5 linked regions of the Coturnix japonica genome follow. The protein of the gene in region 1 interacts with the protein of each later gene in a pairwise test. Links are inferred from orthologs where the notes say so. Each region holds a gene or a part of one and is shown in the gene's direction. Other genes may lie near its edges.

Region 1 (3,805 bases):
GGTTTTGCCTGATTGAACATCTCCTTTTTCTTTTGTTGCCCTACTGCAGGTGCAATAGGATATGAGAACTACTACGACAGAGAACCAAACAGAAGCAACAGCCCAACCCAGACCTGTGGGATGATGAAGAGGTAAGTGATGAATTTTCATTCCCAGACGTACTACTTCTCAGTGTATGATGATGGCACAGGGGTTGGAACTAGATGATCTTTAAGATCCCTTTCAACCTAAGCCATTCTGTGAGTCTATGTTTCTGTGACAGTAAACGGGACCTGGATAGTTACTTCTTCTTTCACTGTAGCAAGAGACAGCTGCATAGAAATAAAACTAACTCGAGAGAAGAAGTAAACCCATTAAAGCTGGAGTCAGAGCCATTTTGCCTTGGCCTAGTGGGAAGAGAGACAAGAGGACAAGTTCATAAAACAGTCTGCTGGCAATAGAGAGCATTCACACTTATTTCCTCTTTCCTAGTGAGTCATGGCACACAGCATCAAAAGCACTCTGTGCAAGGGAGGGCAAAGGTGAGCCTTGCTGGGAGCCAGGGCTGGGGAGAGCTGTCCTTTTCAGCAATGCCTCCTGGCTTAGTGCATTGCGATGCCCAGCTGGGAACAACAAAGAGCTGCTGTCTCTTTCTAGACCAAAAGAAAAAATACTTAGTGGAATAACTGTGATGATAAGGGAGGTGCTTTTCTTTTTCTAATCCATTTAAGCTGGTAAATATAGTAATATGAATGCAGTTATATCAGCGGAACAGCACGGTAGAGCTATTGGTTTAAATATTTTATACTAAAATGGCTAATTCATGGCAGAAATGGCATCATATTTAAAAGCAGGAGAGCTTTGTAGTTTGGCAAGTCTTATTTTATGGCAAAGACAAAGAGGGGGCTGAGATCTCCCATTTAAAACGTGGGCCAGGCTTGTTAGCGAGCTGATAAGGTTTATACACAATATTTGGTTCCCTGTTGGAAACAAGATTTTATATAATAATGAATCCTAACATTGCAGCCTCTGCAATTACAGAAGACAATTGTATGGCCATTTAGAATACAGCTGTGCCCAGCAGGAGCAAACAGCCTTCAGAGGCTCAGCCTCAGTTTTTGAGAACTCATTGAGCTTAGAAATCCATTTTCCTGAATCACTGACCATTCACCAGCTGAAAAATCAAACCCTCGATGTACATCTTAAGCACTCCATACTACTGCTACCTACACTTATATCCTAAACCATCTTCTCGCTTGGCCTGGTCACCAGTTCCCAGCCAGAATCCAGCTGTGATATAGAAAACAACTAGGTGAGATTAAAAAATAAATAAATAAAGGAAACAAAAGTATTTCACTTAAATTCACTATTTCTAGAAAGGTATGTTAGAAAGGCTTTGTATTTTGAATTGCATTGGTTTTCCCTAAAGGAATTGTATTCTTTTGTAAACAACTGAGAATTCTCATCGTATCGATAGAATGAGATGATTGGAATTCTGTTTCATGAGTCTCTGGATCCACAACACAATATTGTGTGATGCATTTAGTGCATCAATTTAGCGATGACCAGCAGTTCATCTGGTTCGGTTATTTTCTAAGGTTTTTTTTTTCTTAGATTTTACTTTAACTGAAGGTAAGAGTATCTATAGATAAAGGAAAGCAGATGACCATGGGAAGGGATGACATCCATGTAAGGTCAAGGGGGAAGGTTAAGTCTGACAGCTGAGTCTTGTAAGAAATGCCCTGCTCACTCATTTTGTCATTGACTTCTCTTGGTTCTGCAGATTCTCTGGACTGTTGCATGGAAGCAGCAAAAACAACACTGAAAGCGTCATTCCTTCAGCCCCTCCTTTAGGTATGCCTCACCAGGGAGTAAATTCACCAGATGTGTTTAACATCACTTGCTAAGTCCAGCTTTAACACAGAGCAGAACTACAGCACACGTTCACATGATGTCAGGCAAGAGAACGAGCAGATCGAAAACAAATTCAGCTCAGATTTCCCAGTCTGAAGTACTAAATAATCTATATAACCTTAGGGCCATAAGAACCTCAAGACCTCTATCTGGGTAAGGGCACACTGTGCTTTCAGACCAATGCAGTTTTAGTAAAGATAATAGTATTCTCCTTACGTTGGATATGCTACCTCTAAAAAGCACAAGGGAATCCCTGAAGTCTTTAACACACCTGCCTCATGCCTTATGAATACAAATATTCATCTCATTTCACACTTGGACTGCATTATCACAACCCGTGCACTCAGGCATTTATCAGTAGGGCATTTAAAACAGTATTTTGATCATGCAGAAAGCAGCAGCTTACAGCATTTTTATTGATTTAAACCCGAAACATTTGAACTGAGATTGCTGCCTACAGGAAATCAAAAAGTTCCTTTAAAACAGCTTTTAAACATACTCAGGTCAATTTCCTTTGCAAGGCCTGCCTTGCCTGCTTGGATGCCCAGTAATGAGGCTGCAGCTACCCCACTTGCTGCATTTAGTGCTCAGGAAGCACAGTCTCTCTGGAGCTATCAGGCACCAGCTGGACCTGCCAGGCCCCAGCTGCCTAACTCAGCATGCAGCAGCATCCACATACACACAGCCTGAAGGCATTTGGTCTCTTGCAGAGCTGTGTAACGACTACATACAGGAAAAACTTACCAGAAATAGACAACAATATTACATCAAATGCTGGATTTAACAGCAGATCTCGACTTTATCCAAGTAAACAGCATCTGTGGTGGTACCTTATGCTCAAGCCTGGTATAATAATCTCCCTCTAACTGCAGAAAAAGCCCTGCTGGCTGTCCATCTCTCATTCAGACATAGTGTGGAGCCCAAGTAGACCTTGCTGCTCATTTAGCACACCACAGTCATCACATTTTGGAAACCACTTAAGGCAGTGTTTTCACCTGGGCTGACATACCAGGTTGTGAGCATGTAATTAGAGCCTGCTCTCCCCTTCATCTTTAGCCAGCCCTGAAGGGTTGGACTGCTCACACCACGGCTGCCCTTCTCTTCCCCACACAGCCCCACTGAAAGCAAAGATGTGCTTGGGAAGTACACGAGAGCAGCTCTAGCCTGGACTACTGTGTCAGCACAACAGCATCCACAGCAGCAAGGCTTTGGTACTTCCATTTTACCACCGTGGTTACGCCATGAGCACTAGAACAGCACAAGAGACCCAGGTGGTTCTTTTCAATAGGGCTAGCTCTGTCTCTTCCTGAATCACAGTTTTCCTACATAATGACAAGCCGGTTTAAAATATCCTCCAGCAAAGTCCCATCTGTGACAAACAGCTAAATGGAAACTATGTGAACTAATGGAAAATGTCTGATGACCCACCACACCAGCACGGTATTTTCCACTTTTCTTAAAGGAAAAACCTCTGCATGAATCACTGAACTGCCAGAATCTCACATCTCCAGTAGCAAACAGTTTACACCAGTTTACTCACAGTACTTCCTTCTCTGCACTTCTGTGGTCGTGCTTTAGCAGGGTAAACATCTTTCCCAACCTGGATGAAGCTAATGCTCCTGACTTCCCAGAAAGCTCAATGGGGGCACTGTCCCCCAATCAATGGGACACAGTTTTTGTGCAAGAATTTACCTACAGTTCACAGCAGCTTTTCTATACACGTACACCTCCAGACAGAGAGAGAACAGAGACCCTTGTATTTGTGAACTCTTGCGTAAGATCCCATGCATTTATAAGCAACTGAACTATTTGTTTCTGTTTTTCCTTCCCCCCCCCCAATCAGAGAAAGCAGATGGGGTCTACGCATCCATTTTTGTAAATGAACATGAAAGAACTACATCGTCACAGGACT
Region 2 (4,453 bases), on another chromosome or scaffold:
CAGGTTGGGATGCTCTAGGACTGTTTTGACTGACTTTTGAAACCCCAGAAGATAAAGACTACTGTAAAAAGAAGGATTTGCAAGTCTTGAGTAAGTGCCCAAAGTCTTTCAATGAAGTATAGGTTATTGAGCTTTGACAGAAAGCTGATTTTAGTAGAATTGACTTTGTGGTCATCTGTTAATCTTTGTGTTGTAGAGTAACTGTTTGAGGAAAGCATGTTTTGGGGGAATATTTTGAAGGCCTAATGAACATTATCTTCATATTACTCCCATTTGTAGCTATAGTTGCTCAGGAATATTTGGGCCATAATAGTTCACTTGTACTCCACTCGCTTATCAAAGTGATAGAACAGAACTTTGAAGTTCAGAGGTGTTTCCTGCTTACCAGCTTGGATAACAACTAGTTTGCTTTGCTGCAGGCCAGCTTACCCATTTAATCAACACACTGAGGAAAGATGGGATGGGTGGGGGAGTAGAATAAGGTTGGTGTTCCTCTGGAGAAAAATACCATTTTGGTTTTTTGTTTTTTTTTTTTTCTTCTTATGTCTTCAGGTGTGCCCCCAATTTGAAACAACTAAGTCATTGGTTCTGAGAGTGTGTCAGAAGAAGCAACGTGGTTCTCACAAGCCTCAGAATCAGGATGCCAGCTCTGGCTTGCTTCATGCAGAGAGAGCTTGTCGGAGATCTGTGGCCTGCAAATTTCCTCCTTTAAATTTTGAGAATTCAGAAGAACGTGCAGTCCGCTCCACGGATGTGCTGAGTCACGCAGGAAAGAACACACAGCATTCTCACGGCCAGTGCAAGAAAGGGATAGGATCAAAAGCCAACATCCAGGTGAATGGTACTGAGAACTATAGTGAAACACCATCATTACCTGTTTCTCAGCCTACAGAGCCAGAAGTCTTCAGTCCACTAGATATGGGGATGCCACAGTTGCCTTCTTTAAAGAACTGGACAGGTAGCAGCGTTCTGCCACAAAGCAGTAGTTGTGCTGAGTTGGTGTCCAGTGTCAACCACTGTGGGAGCGAGCAATTGGCAGCAACACTGGTTACGGATACTCCTGAGCGTGACTATGGAATAAAGGTGACCTGGAGACATCGGCCTCATCTCCTTAAGTACCTGAGAGACAGAGGGAAGCTGAGCACTGCTGACATACTGGTGAAGGCAGACCTTGAACTCAAGAAGCCAGGCTGACTTTTGGTTTGGCAAAACAGCCATTTCACACACAATATAAATATGGTCTAATACAAACACAGAAAGTCCTTGAAAAGAGCAAAGAGGGGTAATAAACGAAGCCATACATTGTGCTGGGGCATCTTAGTTCTATTGGGAAGTGGTAGCGACGCGTAGGATGCACTTTATTCTCAGGGGGGGAGTGGTGTGATTTTACTTTTGACTGAGCTTCCTCGCAGGGGCTGTGGGAGGGCGGTAAGTGCAATAAGCCTCCACATCCACCCGCCATGATAACTGTGGAGGCGGGGCTCGGCGCTGACCTGGCTGCCTCTATGCGCATGTTCGGCTCGAGTTCTCAGCTGAGGGGAGCAGCGGCCCGCTTGGGCCAATGGCGCAGGGCCGGAGTTACGAGTTCCGTCTCCAAGGGTAGCGGTGAGATCGAAACCAGGTCCCGTAGTAAAGGCGGGGCTGAAGATGGAGGGTGCCAGGAGCCGATGCGCGATCGGTGGGGGCAGGTGAGTGGGGCCCAGCGGGGCAGGGAGGTTGCGAAGCGATTTGCGGCGAGTCCCTCCTCAGGCTGACCCTGAGCCTCGGTTTCCCTACCACGGTTCCAGACTTTGATTGAAGCAGCGTCTTCGGGAGCGAAACGACTGTGGAGGCTTTTTTTGTGTGTTACCTCGTGCTTCTAATCATAATTAAGCATTTGGGATGTGAAAACGGTAGCGAGCTCTTAGGCCACTGCATGTGGGGGGTGGGGGGAACGCAACTGATGGGAACTTAACTGACGTAATGGGAAAAGCACGTTAAGTTTGGGAGAGAGATTTTGGGAAGAGATTCTGCCCGTGGGTTTGAATAGCTGAAACCACAAATGACTGAGAATTCAGTGTGATGTACAGTGAAGAGAGATTTTGGTGATTAATGTGATGAATGATTTTGGAAATGCAGGAAAAGAACTGTTTTCTATCCAAGCATCAGAGGGTACGTGATGGGAATGCCAGTAAAGAGAGAAACAAAGAATTGTGTAACGTTTCTTGGTTGCAGTGATGAATGTAAGAATACTAAAATGCACAAACCTGAATAAATGTACGTAATTCCTAAGTAGATTTTTAAGACCATTAAGTAGATTCTTAAGACCATTTGTAGAGTCTTAAGAAAGCTATATGTGAGAATCAGATGGTCAGTATATATGTATTTTTTCTTTCTGAAATGAAATTTTCTTGCTATTCAGCGATATGTAATAGATATTGAGACATAAATAATTTTATTTGATGGACAGGCAGGTGAGATTTTGGGTTAAGGCCATTTCTAAGTAGGCTCTAATACTGTGGTGTTGTATTAACTTCTTCTCTGCCAATGTTATCTTTCATTTACGATGGCTGTAATTAAAGTAGCTTGAGATCATATTGAAGTCTGACATTCATCTAGATTTTCTTTAAGCACTAAGGTGCATCATTATGTTTATAGTGTTATTTCATTACTTTGATAAATGCTACGTGTTTCCTTTTCATTTGGGACAGTCTGACATTAAAAGTGTTGGATAGTGGTGTATGATGGGCAGCAGAGTTCAATTGGTTTGTGGTATTGGGTCATAGTCAGTTATCCCCACGGTTCCCTTCCACTCCTGGATATTGTATTGTTTGATGTCTTTATAGTATGAGAAAGCTCTCTGTTGGTAGACTTGGACTGGGATTGCTTCAGTCTCTCAATGGGACACAGTTGGACAGTCTACACAGTTATATTGTTGATTGTGTTGTAATTGGGTCATGGTATGAATGCTCCTGTGAATGCATTTGCTGACATGCCTAGAAGTGTTTTCTTAGTCCACTGCAAGAACTTTTATCCATACTTCTGTTGTTTAAAACATAAAATCGATGGGATGTCATCCAAAAGCTTGTGTCTCATCGTTCATACTCCCCATTCCCATTAAATATTCTTATGTGAAATTCCAGGCAAAAATAGAACAAGAATCTGGATTTACTAACTGCATATCCTAGTTCAGGATGGAAATCACATTTTGCTGTTTCATTCTTATCAATAGCTTCCCATTCAAACTTCTAAAAAACAAAACAAAAAAAGCTGGATATAGACTGAAACTGAAACTCCACACTGAGCTCTAGAATGTTAATTCATATATATTTTTTCATTTATTTCCTTCATTTTTAGTTAGACATACTATAAAAACAAGTGCAGTTCGGCATGAAGAGCGATAAACTTCATAGAAGTTTTGCTGTCTACCTGAGTTAGTGATTTTGTGCCATTTAACTGGTTTAATTTCTGTTTATCTTGTGGTCTCCAGAACCCAAACAGGCACAATCACAGAGACAGCAAAGGTTTGAAGGAGCCTCTGGACATCATCTCGTCCAACCCTGCTGCTCCATAGGGTCAGCTGGAACAGGTTGCATAGGGGGATGTCTGCTCAGTTGTTGAGTATCTCTACAAAAGGTTATTCCACAGCCTTGATATGCAGTTTGTTCCAATGTTGACTGACCCACAATAAAAAAGCATTTTCTTGTGTTTTTTTTATGTTTTAAACTGTGCCCGCTGTCTCTCTTTCTGACAGTAGGCACTAGTGGTTCCATCTTTATGCCTTGTCATGGGGTGTTTATATACCTTGTTCAGCCTGCAGCAGAGATGGTTCCATGAAGATCTTACCACTCTCAGCTCTCTGAACTCATATGAGAGATGCTCCAGTCGCTCAGTAATCTCTGTGACCCTTTGCTGGACTTGCATATTTTCCTGGGGGCCCAATAGTGGCCACAGCATTGGCTAATAATAATAATACATCATAATTTGTAGCAAAAGCCTTTGAGTAATGAAAGCTTTTTGCTTACAAAATGTTTTCAGAGAATTTTAGTTCAGTGACTGAATCACCGGTCCTGTTTGTGACAGAAAATGAAGTATGTTTCTTTCATAATGCCTTATTACTTGGTCTTCCCATGGGCTAGAAATAGTGTTTTACAGTTGGAGCCTTGACAACTATGTTGCAGTCTGTGGATGTCGTGTTTTTATATAATGCAAACTAATTTCTGGTAATAATTTTTTGTCTCTTGCCTTTTCCAGCATCTTTGAGGATGAAGGCATGAAACTACGACAGCTGAAACTAGAGAATCAGGTCAGTGGTTGTGCATTAACTGGCAAAAATAAATGAAGGAAAACAAACATTAGCCATCTTATTTTAGAAAGGAAAGTTAAAGTGCTTGTTTTCCCTTTCTTTCCCTTCTTCTCCATTCCCATTTTTCCTCTTGATTACCTGTCCTCTTTTCATTTACTTCATAATTTG
Region 3 (3,805 bases), on another chromosome or scaffold:
TATGACCTTTTCATTTTTTATGCTGAACCTTTACATTTCTGCGGTTTCCTTGTGTGACAGATTATGTAGCATTTTGCTTCTGACTTCTTCACAGATGTAAGTGCAGGAACATCATTCCTTCTCTCCCTGGGGATGCAGATTTTATTTTAATGAACTGTATTGATGATTTCCTTGCCAGAAAAATAGAAACGTGGAAGGAGAATGCCTGCTACTCTATTTTATTCCAAGCCTATTTTTGTATAAGAATAGTCTTTGGAAGTCTTCTATGTCAGCTGTGTCTCACATAACAGGGAATTGATGAGTCTGTGATGAGTTCAAGTCATAATAATTTGCAGTGCTATGGCAGTGTCTGTATATGAAATACCAAGCTTGTTTCTTTCAAATGTGGGCTTGATGCATTATTCACTTCTGTAATAGCTTTGCTAATGGAGAGTTTGGAAGATTGGCTGCATGGCAGTTGATTTTATTTGTCCTGTGCTCAAGAAGTAAAATAATCATCTTTTAGTCCATAATACTATTTTGTTTCTCCATTCTTAGGTGGATTGTAGACATGGAAGGTGCTCCAGGAACGCTATATGAAGGGGAGAAATTTCAGCTTCTATTTAAGTTCAGTAGCCGATATCCTTTTGATTCGCCTCAGGTATCTGCTTTCCTCCTTCCTACTTAATTCTGTCTCTAAGTAATAATTGTGTGGTACATGCTGAATACTAATGCCATTTGTATATCCTAAGGTGAGGTTTAGTTGTCTCTAGAAAAAGCACACCTGCACAATATGTTTAACATAAATTGAAACAAGTGAGATGTAGTGCCTACTACAGTCCACTTAATTTCATGGAAGATGAAAGAATGGTGTATTCTTGAGGTTTCTTTATACACTATGAAAGAACAACACAGAATAGTAGGATGGTTCCTTTTGTTGCTGCACACGAGTGAACAACAAACAATTCTTTAGTCTCCTCTTCAGCTTCTATGTCCTTTCTTAACCTCTTCTACCTTCTCTACTGCCATTGTTAATATGGCTGTCAAAATACTGTTCATGTGGTAGGAATTCTCATGAACACCTGGCATCTCTGAGAGGTCTGCAAATCTAGTGGTTATAATTAAGGTGTGAGCTACTGCTTTCATGGCAACATTAAGTACTGGAGGGTCAACATTACTACTAGGGTGTGGAATGAGCTCTGTACATCCATCTGTCCATTACCTGAGAGAAGTTAGGCTTGGAGGAGGAAAGCAGGTGTTAAGTTATCCCTTCAGCTCTCCTGAAAATGAAAGAAAGAAGAAACAAGAGTGCTTTAGTTCTGGCCCTGTTTCAGCTCAAAGTTTGAAGAGTCATCTCTGCTTTTCTCATGGCTGTTGAAGCTCCAGCAAGGAGTGAGCTGCGGCAGTCACATAAACTGTAAAAATATGTATCTGTAAGGATTAAGGTGAAAACTAGAAATGCTTGTTCTTCAGTCTCAGGTTTTAAGGAACAAACTGGCACATTCCATTCCCATCTGCATTTTATCAGGTTTGCAGTAAGCTTCTCATAGGTGATCCATAAGACCCACTTTGTTTTGATTCCAAGTGGGTACTGTTTGTACTCTTTATCTAACATGCGCATGTGACTGTGTAAAAATTATTGTAAAACAGCAATCTAAATCAGTACACAAAGACAAATGTATTTATTTCCTTGCAAGCATAAAAGGCAGTTAAGAATTAAAGCACTGGATATTTAGTTCTTGTTGTGGCTAAAATTTTTTATCATGCTGCTGTACAATAATTCTCTGCTTTAAAGCTCTTGATTTGTAATTCTTTCTCCTATAAATCTACTTCCTCTGAATTGACAATTTGTTTCTCCTGTTCAATCACTTGATTGTTTTCTGCCTTGAGTGTTGTCTGTTAAGCATGCATGCTTAACTAGTCCTGGTTTTCTTGTATAATGGAAACATTAGTTAGAAATTAAATACTAAGTTACAGAGGTAAGCTTTTCAGTGCGTAAGAAATACCAGACAAAGATCATTCTGCATCCACTTTTCTCTGCTGTCATTAAAAAAATTGCATGCCATTTGGAAAGTAGCTTGAGCTTTCTCACCTCATTTGTGATGAAGCTGAAACTTCTTTCTGGTAGTCAGTAATGAGGTGAGGTGTGTGTACACGTACCTGAACTGAGAAAATCTTAAGAAGATGTTGTGATTTGAGTGGTAGAGATTTATTATGTCATTTTATAAAAGATTACGGTGCTTATGTTGAATAAGGAGCTCAGGAGGATAATGCTGCTGTGAGGATTTTGGTTTTTACTCCCTTTTCATTGGTCCTGAGCTGACCTTACGTTTTTGTCAAACTTATTGTAAGAGCAGTAATTGTCAAAATTGATTTTCTAACCTTTATTTTTTAATAGAGAGAAGTTGAGATTCTCAGTGCTGTTCTCTGTTGTTTGCTTCTGTTAAAAGAAAATTCCACTTAAATAACAATTTAAAATATTTCCAATGTGATAATGCAGTATGGTTGTAAGAGTCCTTTATGTTCTAGTTAATAGGATTAGTGTGTTTAACTCTTCTTGAGTTGTCTAGAATTTATATCCTATTGTGTCCAAAGAAATACTAATTTGTGAATCTAACCTTCCTAATAGGCAGCTGTAGGATGTAAATAGGATGTTTTAAAAAAACTGAAGATGCAAGATTTAAGAGTTTGCTACATCTGTTGCTTTTATGTTCTTTGTGTTTTGTAACTATTCACAGGAAAAAAACTGCATTTGGCCATTTGTGCTACTTCACCTTCACAAGGCTTTTGTCATTTCATTTTACATTTTGACTAACAGCTCAAAAAATGAATGAATGTAATATGGTATATTATGTTATTTCTTGTAAATGATAATGTCAGAACCTGCTTTTTTATTTATTTTTTTTTTTTTTACAAAATCTGCATAGTTTTTATTTAAAAGTTGAACAATAGATTACATTTTGGTGGTTTTTTCTTTTTTTTTAGGTCATGTTTACTGGTGACAATATTCCTGTTCATCCACATGTTTATAGCAATGGTCATATCTGTTTGTCCATTCTAACAGAAGACTGGTCTCCAGCTCTCTCAGTGCAATCTGTTTGTCTTAGCATTATTAGCATGCTTTCCAGCTGCAAAGAAAAGGTATGAGGTTTTTTTTTTTTTCTCTCCTAGAGTCACTGGCTTGGGTTGGAAGGGATCTTAAAGATAATTTAGTTCCAGTCCTCTTGTAATGGGCAGAGTTGTCTCCACCTGCTGATTTCAGCACCATTGGAGTAGAATAAGTGAAAATTATTGGTTTTCTACTTTGAAAAGTAAGATTTTTTTGTTTGTTTGTTTCTGAAATACTAAAATAGGCAAACCTGCTACATACTTGCCAGTGACAGTGGCGCAGTGGTAGGAATGCTGCGTTGCAACACCGGAGGCCTGGGTTCGAATCCCCCCCCTGTGGTGCAAGTGTTAGAAGTGCTGCTCTGCTACACAGGAGGCTCGAATCCCGGGGGTTGGACTCGATGATCTTTTAAGGTCCCTTCCAACCCGCACTATACTGTGATCTGTATTTCTGCTATTTGAAAGTATTAAGCTAGAACTGCAAACTAAATAGTACAGTAAATATTTTGTAACTTTTTTTATGGCAACCTGTTTGTACTACTTTATTGGAGAAGAAGCATAAATGAATACTTCTACTTGTACAAAGTCATTATGTTATATTAACATGTAAAGCCAAATTCTTGCAGCTCTGTTAAAATTATTTGTCTCTAAAGGCCACTCAAAACAACTGTTGAAATGTCTGTTTTGCAGATACCTGTGATTTTGCAGTTGTACTATT
Region 4 (3,805 bases), on another chromosome or scaffold:
CTTTGATTTTTATTGGTGACATGTGGGCACATGATGAAAGTCTGCTTGATATCTTTCACTTGTGTACAGACTGTCAAGAGTTGTTGTGCAATGCTGTGGTCTTGAGCCTTGAGTCTTTTTTATTCTGCTGTAGTAGAAGGTATGTTTGATGCTTTTTAAGTGAAAGAGAAGCATGTCCTTGGGGAAGAGGTAGAAGTTCAGTTTTGTAGCTGTTGGGGTTTTCTCACTGTCTGCTGTGCTTTCCAATAACCTTTCTGAAATTGCCATTAAGATTTCTGAATCATTCTTCCTTCTTGTTTTGCTGGCAGACAAAGATAGACTGATGTATGTGAGCAGTGTGAGAAGAGACCTCACCATAAATTACTGGGTAATACAGTGCTGAAAGGACAGTGAACTTAACATTTACCTTGTGATTTCCATATAAGCCTTTTACCTATCTTTTTAATGAATGCTTTCTTAATAACCTTGACTCAGGAGGTAAATATCCTTTGGCCCATGGAGCTGACACTAGCCTGCTTTCTCTCAAGTGAGAGGAGAAAGAAAAAGAAAGCTTTTTCGGTTGTCTGATTGCAACAAAAGGGAAGTGGAGACTTGACTAGAAAACCCGAATGCCTTGATCAACAAGACAAATGTAACTGTTACTAGCAGCCCTTTTCCTTGGTCTGGTCCATATTTGGGCAGTTCTGATGGTCTCACTCTGTACAAGTTATTGTCTGGTTAAAAAGAACTTCAAAAAGATGCATCTTATTTCTGATGGCTTTACATGAGTGCCTGACTGAGATGATCCAGTTGAGTTTTTTGAACTTCCCTGCAGTTGCTGAAATTTATTTATGTTAGACTTCAGACTTCAGTCAGAGCTCCCTCTATAGAAGATATCTAGATATATAGAAGATAACTATGTTTAGATATATAGAAGAGATCTAGTGGTAGAGCTGTATGTTTCCTGGCAATTGAGTGGCAGCCTGTATTTGGATACCACGCTTCACTTACAAAGTCCAAAGGCTTGGTTTCTTTGTTAACTGATGGCACATCATGAAATTTTTCTCTTCCACAAAATATGTCAAGTCTCATCCTTCATCGACGGGGGGTTGGACTCAATGATCTCTGGAGGTCCCTTCCAACCCCTATGATTTTGTGATTCTGTGATTGAGAGGGGCGGTTCCATGTAAATAGCCTGAATGCACAAAGTCTGGGCTGCGTAATCTGCCCATCATCTTGCTGGTCCTTACGGCGTGAGATTTGTTATTGGCACACCTTCCAGGTCTGCTAGATATGTTACACTCTTTCAGGTTTCCACAATTGCAGATGCTGTCATCTAGCAAGTTAGTAATGAGTTTTTGCCATTTTGAAAGCCTCTGCTTTTTGTCTTTATCATTGTTAATAAAAGTATATTTCACAGAAGTACTGTGATGGGTTTCTTTGAATGGGTTCAGTTCTTCAGGATATTGGATTACAGAAGGAAGCCTATGGTCTAGCAGTAACCTGACTTTCAAGAGAAAACAATGTTCTGTTATAACCTTGTCTGCAAGAGAATGTTCCATGTCTCCTGCTGCAGAGCTGGGTTTGGATGATTTATAGTTCCTCTGACACAGTTATCCCAAAAATCTTAAGGTGTATGGGGGTTTAGCTGGTTGTTGCTTTACTCAAGGTTACTCTGATACTGGGGCCACCTGAACCAGTCAGTAAAGACCCTGGGAACAACCTGTCTAGCACAGGGGCCTGGGGTCTTGTTTTGATTTTATGTACTTGAATCAAAGCTGTTGTTTATTTAAAATACTAAATTGCATTTCTGTTCTTTTCACTCATTTGCTTTGCACATCAGCGCATCACCTTATGTGATGAAAGGAAATATTTTTAAAGGCTCTGAAGTGAAAAAGATTCCTATTTGTGGACAGGATCTTAGTTGTGCAAAATAATTGATAGTTAATATTCTGTATTTAATGTGAAAGTCAATTGACCGTATGCCTGTAGAGCTTCTTTGAAGAAGCTGAAAACGAGCTGCAATAATTGCCAGTGATCTTGCTAATATGCACTGTAAATTGAATCCTACTCTACTGTGAATGTTTTATAGTGTTTATCTCATGTCAGTTAAATTTGATCTATGCTGTTAGCCTTAAATCTATGGTGAAACAAATACACAAATATAGTGAAATCCTTCTGGACATGTGAAGGAAAATAAGAAAGATGTTTGGTATCGGACGAGCTGTATTCTAGTTCATATAAGGCCTTTTAAAAGAATTTATTTCCTAGCTCTGTTGAAAATTGTATTCCAAATGCCGAATTCCTTTGAGCTACTTCTTAAATAAGAAGAAAGCCAAGAGTACTGGAATGCTGCCGCAAGAGGGCCTGGCAGACATCTGTGAAGGAATGCTGCTGGGAAAGGATGTGAGCAATCCTTAAAGCATCAGTGAGGATTAGCTTTGGCTTGAATTTATACCCCTGTGATACTGAAAAACTTTTAGTGTGTGTTGACATAATTCTTGCCGGTTCCATTAGTCATATTTTATAAATGTCATTTGTATGCAGTGGAAGTGCTTCTTGGAGTTCAGTATCGGTGTCAGAGTATTACTACAGCGGAGACAGGTTATCTAAAATGTTATCAAAATACAGAAAACTTACATCATTGTTTCTTGCAGTTGCCTTGTAGAAGGAGATGCTAAAGAAGAAATATTGCAACCTCCGGAGCCTCAGCCAGTACCGCCAATCTTAACACCATCTCCTCCATCAGCTTATCCAACAGTCACTACAGTGTGGCAGGACAATGACAGATACCATCCAAAGCCAGTTTTGCACATGGTTTCATCAGAGCATTCAACAGACCTCAATGAGAATTACAATAAAACCACGGAACTTTCAGGAAAGAGTGAACCCAGTGAACGTATGGAGAAAAGGCTGGAGCGCAACTTGAGCTTTGAAATCAGGAAAGTACCTCTTCAGGAAGGCCCACGAAGCTTTGATGGAAACTCCCTGTTGAACAGGGGACATGCAATTAAAGTTAAGCCCGCATCATCCTCTGTAATTGATAAGAACTTTAAGTCACAGGAGCAGACTTCAGGGGATTCATTTGTGGATGCTTCTAAAAACTCGTGTATGGAATGCAGTGTGCCACAGTCTAACACAGCCTTAATACCTTCACCAGAAAGTCCACAGGGCCAACAGGTTTCTGATACCCCACCAAGACCAGATCGTCTGCCTCTAACAGAAAAGGGACATGCCAGGTGGTCACTGCACGGGCCTGAAAATGCACTGCGTGCGTCAGTGCCTGAGGACGTGTCTTCAGACGTCTTATGTCGTGGGGTTAATGCTCTGTCTCTAGTATCGAACACCACAGTTGAACTTCCTTCCAGTGATAAAGGTGACCATACTGCTATTTCTTTTCGAGCACCCCTCTGTTTTACTAATCCTCTTCATTCAGATGATTCTGACACAGATGAAATGAACTTTGATGGAGCCATGAGCAGAAGTGCATCTAATATTTCAACCGCAAGTGCCACTGTTTCTGCTGCCACTACTACCGAAAACATTTCTGCCAGAAAAGTATTGCCAATGTCAATTGCTAGGCAAGACTTAGCTGCTGTAACGGGTTCTGAAGATGGCAAAGGTATGTGTTAGTGTGATCCTGGTTACATCTGTAGAATGGGGCTGGTTTCTTTGCTGCACAGACTTTTCAGTGTGAGTTTAAATGGCTTTGGGTAGCTGAAGTCTGGGTGATTTGGTGTATGCGATGTTCCTGGAGAAATTAATGCTTAATGGTTGACGTGCTGATCTTAAAAATGTAGATGCAATTTGTTCCACTGCAGCACTC
Region 5 (4,342 bases), on another chromosome or scaffold:
CTGCACCGAGCACCAAAGGTTACACAACGCTATAAAAACACTTACGTCCCCAAATCTGCATTTCCTAATGAGTAACTCGGAGTTAACTAGTAACCCATCACATCTTTCCCTGAGCGAGCACACAAAGGTTGGGCATTTATCTGGGCGTGGGATCGATATGCTTTAATTTCAGATGGCAGAGCTACCCTGTGAGCCTAATGCAATCAGAAGGCACGCACTGCATCTAAGTCAGGACCACAAATATTACATGACACACTAATGGAAACCTCCCATGTGCTGCCAGCAGAAGGGGAGGGCTGAGGTTACACCGCACACAACAGCAACAGGGCTTTGTACAGCTCAATGGGATCTCAGTATCAACCTGAGCCTCCAAGCGGAACCAGCATCAATATCTCCCCATAATAACCCTCCTGAAGGCTCCCACAGGATCCTAATGCACTTGTTGTTTCTCCATATATAAGCTATAGATGTGAGAGCACCAAACAGGTGTTTCATTGGGATGGTTTCAATATGAATCACACCAGCTTTCCAGGTACCCCAATGTAACCAAAACCTCTCGTTCTGAACCCAACTGAGCTGCCCCCTCACTCATCCTCCACACCGACCCCCAGATCGATTCCTTGCATATCAGATGAGCAACTTTATGGGTAGCACCAAACCCAGCCTCAGCCACCCCACACCCAGCACAGGGTCCTGCCGGGCACACAGCACTGAGCCCACCCTGCAGACCTTCATGGGGTTGCAATGGGGTCTCAGTGCGACCATCAGGGGCAGATCCAGCACCATCAGCTCTGAATGTTTGAAGCAGAGACCACCCCCCAACCCCCCCGGGGCAAGAGATGGGACAAATACAGCGGGGACCGGGGGGGGGGGGTATAACCGGAGGGGTCTGTGACACGCCGCAGCCCCGTCGCGCCCCTCCCAATCCCCGTACACCCCCACCAGGACCCCGACACCCCCATGTGCCCCTCACCGCCCCCTCCCAATCCCGCATCCCCCCCGTTGAGATAATGGAATCAGAGCCCACCCTGCCGTCCCCTCCCCACCCCCCGGTCTCGTTCCATCCGCCCGTACCCGTTACCACCACCGCCCTCCGCGGTTTCTCCATCTCCGCTCCCGCACCGCACTGAGCGACCGGCCCCGCACGGTCATAGAGCGCGCTCCGCCCCGACGCCCAGAGCGGCCCCGCGCGGCCATAGAATACGCGCCGCCCCGAGGACCAGAGCGGCCCCGCGCGACCATAGAGTGCGCGCCGCCTCGCTGCCTAGAGCGCCTCCTGAGCGCCGCTCCGTGCCGCTTCCCGCTCGGCGTTTCAATTTACGGCACTGTCGTGACGCTGTGCACCGCCAACCTCGGCGATGCTTTACGGCCGAGGCGGGTCCTGCACGCTGATTGGCTCCGCGAGGACCGCGCCGAGCTCTGATTGGTCCCGTGTGGGGCCGGGGGTGGTTTGAGCGGCAGCGCCCGGCGCGGCGGCGGCTCCGCGGTTCCGGCACGATGGTGAGTGCGGGAATGGGCCGGGCCGGGCCGGTTCGGTTGTCCCGGTACTCCCTGAGCCCCTACATGGGGATCCGAGGCGGTCCCGGTTCCCGGTTGTTGAGGCCTTTCTCTCTTTCCCCCGCAGCTGCCCCTGTCGTTGCTGAAGACGGCGCAGAACCACCCTATGGTGAGTCCCGGCCCACTCCCGCTGCGGCCTATGGGCCCGGTGCCGCCCCGTCGGGTCCCGTTGGGTCCCCGTGCCGCCCCGTCGGTCCCGGTTCCTTCATGCTGACCCCCCCCCTTTGCTTCTTCCAGCTGGTGGAGCTGAAGAACGGCGAGACGTACAACGGGCACCTGGTGAGCTGCGACAACTGGATGAACATCAACCTGCGGGAGGTCATCTGCACCTCACGGGTAACCAGCTCAATGCCAGGACCCCCATTGCGCCCATAGACCCCCTACTTTGAACAGCATCAAAGCAGATCAGGAATGAGTTGTCCCCATTGCGCCCATAGACCCCCCCCATTGCGCCCATAGACCCCCCATTGCGCCCATAGACCCCACATTGCTATCAGCCCCCAGCCCTGCAGCTGAGTGGGACTCGCAGAGATCCTCACCCTTCTGTGTGTGTTGCTTTTGCTTTGAATGTGAATGTAACGCAGTTATGAGGTGTAAGAAACGAATGAGCCCATTGACAGCAGGGTGAAGGTGCTCAGTGTGAAGGGCTGGTGACAGGTCCTGTCCCATTGCCCGCTCCATGCAGCCCCATCGAGCACAGTGCTGCCTTTCATCATCACCTGCCTCACGCCCTGTAACTCCACATCAAAAGTTATTAGGGCCTCTTGTTTAACCGGGTTGTGCCTCGTCTGCTACTTTTGCCCATGGCCAAAGTGCTCCGAGAAGAGATTGGGATCTGTGCTTTGAGCTCTGACCTCAGCCTCAAGTGTCTGGTCTTGTCCCTGGCAGCCTGTGCCTGGCCACGTTCCTGCTGCTGCTGCTGCTCTCTGTGCCTGGGAACATCACGGGTCTGTGGGGGAGGCTGTCAGGGAAACCCTTCTTCTTCAGGAAGGGTTTCTGTGCCTGTTGGACCCACAGCAGGAAGGTATTGGCCAATAGTGCTGGGGCACGGAGATGTGATGTGTGTACTTAAACAAAGCAAAGGTTTAAGAAGGATCATAACAGCAGAGCAGTGAGCCCTAAAAATCTGGATCCACAGATTGTTGGGGCAGATAAACAGATAAGTTCAATGGGAAGGGGTGGCAAGTGGCAAAGCCTTACTAGTGCTTGCAGAACAAGGGATGCCGGCCTTTAATACTGCTTCCTCATTAAGCAGCTTTGTGTTGCTGTGGGCAGAGCACTTCAGCATTTATACCCACCGAGTGGTCTGCAGTTCACTCCCCACCCCTAAATACCCCCTGGGTGCTACTGGGGGGGTATATATGGAAGCCTTCCTGGTGGCACGGTGGGGATCAGCCACTAGATGGCATGGAGCTGCGGCAGCTGTTTACATGGGGAGCTGGAACGAGGAAGCCGGGGACCTGGCTCCATCCCTTCCTGCATAGAGAGCCAAAGTGCAGCCGGGCGGATCCAGGCAGGGTGGGGTTTGCTGGGTGCCTGTTTGAAGAAGGCTGCTTGTCTCACACACACGGAACTTGCCTGTGCATGCTGCATTGCCCCAAATAACACCGGAGCAGAGGAGGAGGGGGGTACAACTTGATTCTGGAGAGGTGAAACGAGGCATTCTGGTTTCACCCACTCCTCTGGGATGTTGTGGACACTCTGTCCATGTGTGATAGTTGTGAGGAGCCTGTGTTCAGCCAAGCCCTGCAGCAGAGCACGGCCGTGCGCACGAGGTTCCATCCCTCCTCCCGCTTACATCAGTTGTTGTTCAACTTTCACATGCAGTTCCTATTCCCACAGCCACAGGAGCTGAAGCCCTGATGGGCTGTGTCCTAGCAAAGCCCTGAAACTGCCTTAAACAAAACACAGAGGCAGCTGCTCCGTAACTTGGCACCCGAAGGTTTCTTTGAACGTGATCTGTAAGCTCTTATTTTCCACAGCCGCGGTTCCTGTGCGCTGCTGGGCTCACCCCACACCCAGCTGGATGCTCCTCGCTGCTCAATCCACACCACAAAGGGGTTCAGTTTGTAGGTGACTCTGGTTGGGGCTTTATGTGCTGGAACTGCCCCGTGTTGCAGCAGCTGTGTTGAACTTACCACATTTCCCTCTCCAGTCCCACTTTCGATTCTCTTCTTGTATGAGAAGCAAAGGGAAGGTGCTGTTTCCTCTTCTTCCTTCACTTTCTGTGAGAGTCAAAGGCGGTTGTGAACGGGCTGAAACTGCAGTGGCTCATGGCTGAACGCCCCCTGACTCCCCAGCAGGTTGTAGGGCTGCGTGTTTTAAAGGGAAAACAGGAATTTCACAGCTAATTATGGGTTGTACATTCAGAATAGACTATTACATCTGTCGCACGCTTCAGAAGTGATGGAGATATTCAAGTGTCAAAAAGCAACTTAAGTGCACGTGGTTTTGTTCTCAGCTTAACACGTTGCTTCCCAATAGGATGGTGACAAGTTCTGGAGGATGCCAGAGTGTTACATCCGTGGCAGCACAATTAAATACCTTCGGATCCCCGATGAGATAATTGACATGGTGAAAGAAGAGGTGGTCTCCAAAGGCAGAGGCCGTGGTGGGATGCAACAGCAGAAGCAGCAGAAAGGCCGCGGTGTTGGAGGTGCTGGACGAGGTAACGATCCTTTTTGCTTTTCAGTTCAGAGAGGGGGTGACTGGGATTCCTGCCTTTAAATTCCACCTCTTGTGCAAGGAAGGGATGATGCTTCTCAGTTTTGAACCCAGAGCTGTT

What was found.
Region 2: the proteins of PSTPIP1 (region 1) and TULP3 interact in binary tests that used the Homo sapiens proteins (3 or more experiments, as listed by UniProt). The two-hybrid records come from large-scale screens. The link is inferred for Coturnix japonica from reciprocal best matches to the Homo sapiens genes PSTPIP1 and TULP3.
Region 3: the proteins of PSTPIP1 (region 1) and UBE2W interact in binary tests that used the Homo sapiens proteins (3 or more experiments, as listed by UniProt). The two-hybrid records come from large-scale screens. The link is inferred for Coturnix japonica from reciprocal best matches to the Homo sapiens genes PSTPIP1 and UBE2W.
Region 4: the proteins of PSTPIP1 (region 1) and PTPN12 interact in binary tests that used the Homo sapiens proteins (3 or more experiments, as listed by UniProt). The link is inferred for Coturnix japonica from reciprocal best matches to the Homo sapiens genes PSTPIP1 and PTPN12.
Region 5: the proteins of PSTPIP1 (region 1) and LSM4 interact in binary tests that used the Homo sapiens proteins (3 or more experiments, as listed by UniProt). The two-hybrid records come from large-scale screens. The link is inferred for Coturnix japonica from reciprocal best matches to the Homo sapiens genes PSTPIP1 and LSM4.

The regions. Positions count from the first base shown.
Region 1 is NC_029525.1:2,414,198-2,418,002, reverse strand, and holds part of PSTPIP1 (proline-serine-threonine phosphatase-interacting protein 1), read left to right. Parts: intron 1-49; coding exon 50-131; intron 132-1,762; coding exon 1,763-1,833; intron 1,834-3,736; coding exon 3,737-3,805. UniProt on the Homo sapiens protein: Involved in regulation of the actin cytoskeleton. May regulate WAS actin-bundling activity. Bridges the interaction between ABL1 and PTPN18 leading to ABL1 dephosphorylation.
Region 2 is NC_029516.1:68,389,311-68,393,763, reverse strand, and holds the start of TULP3 (tubby-related protein 3), read left to right. Parts: upstream 1-1,429; 5' UTR 1,430-1,647; coding exon 1,648-1,688; intron 1,689-4,233; coding exon 4,234-4,285; intron 4,286-4,453. Other genes in the region: RHNO1 (RAD9, HUS1, RAD1-interacting nuclear orphan protein 1), read left to right, coding at 553-1,194. UniProt on the Homo sapiens protein: Negative regulator of the Shh signaling transduction pathway: recruited to primary cilia via association with the IFT complex A (IFT-A) and is required for recruitment of G protein-coupled receptor GPR161 to cilia, a promoter of PKA-dependent basal repression machinery in Shh signaling.
Region 3 is NC_029517.1:106,928,234-106,932,038, reverse strand, and holds part of UBE2W (ubiquitin-conjugating enzyme E2 W), read left to right. Parts: intron 1-537; coding exon 538-640; intron 641-2,964; coding exon 2,965-3,120; intron 3,121-3,805. UniProt on the Homo sapiens protein: Accepts ubiquitin from the E1 complex and catalyzes its covalent attachment to other proteins.
Region 4 is NC_029516.1:11,320,014-11,323,818, reverse strand, and holds part of PTPN12 (tyrosine-protein phosphatase non-receptor type 12), read left to right. Parts: intron 1-2,636; coding exon 2,637-3,601; intron 3,602-3,805. UniProt on the Homo sapiens protein: Dephosphorylates a range of proteins, and thereby regulates cellular signaling cascades. Dephosphorylates cellular tyrosine kinases, such as ERBB2 and PTK2B/PYK2, and thereby regulates signaling via ERBB2 and PTK2B/PYK2.
Region 5 is NC_029543.1:3,005,805-3,010,146, forward strand, and holds the start of LSM4 (U6 snRNA-associated Sm-like protein LSm4), read left to right. Parts: upstream 1-1,382; 5' UTR 1,383-1,497; coding exon 1,498-1,500; intron 1,501-1,624; coding exon 1,625-1,666; intron 1,667-1,794; coding exon 1,795-1,893; intron 1,894-4,041; coding exon 4,042-4,225; intron 4,226-4,342. Other genes in the region: PGPEP1 (pyroglutamyl-peptidase 1), read right to left, coding at 1,075-1,108. UniProt on the Homo sapiens protein: Plays a role in pre-mRNA splicing as component of the U4/U6-U5 tri-snRNP complex that is involved in spliceosome assembly, and as component of the precatalytic spliceosome (spliceosome B complex).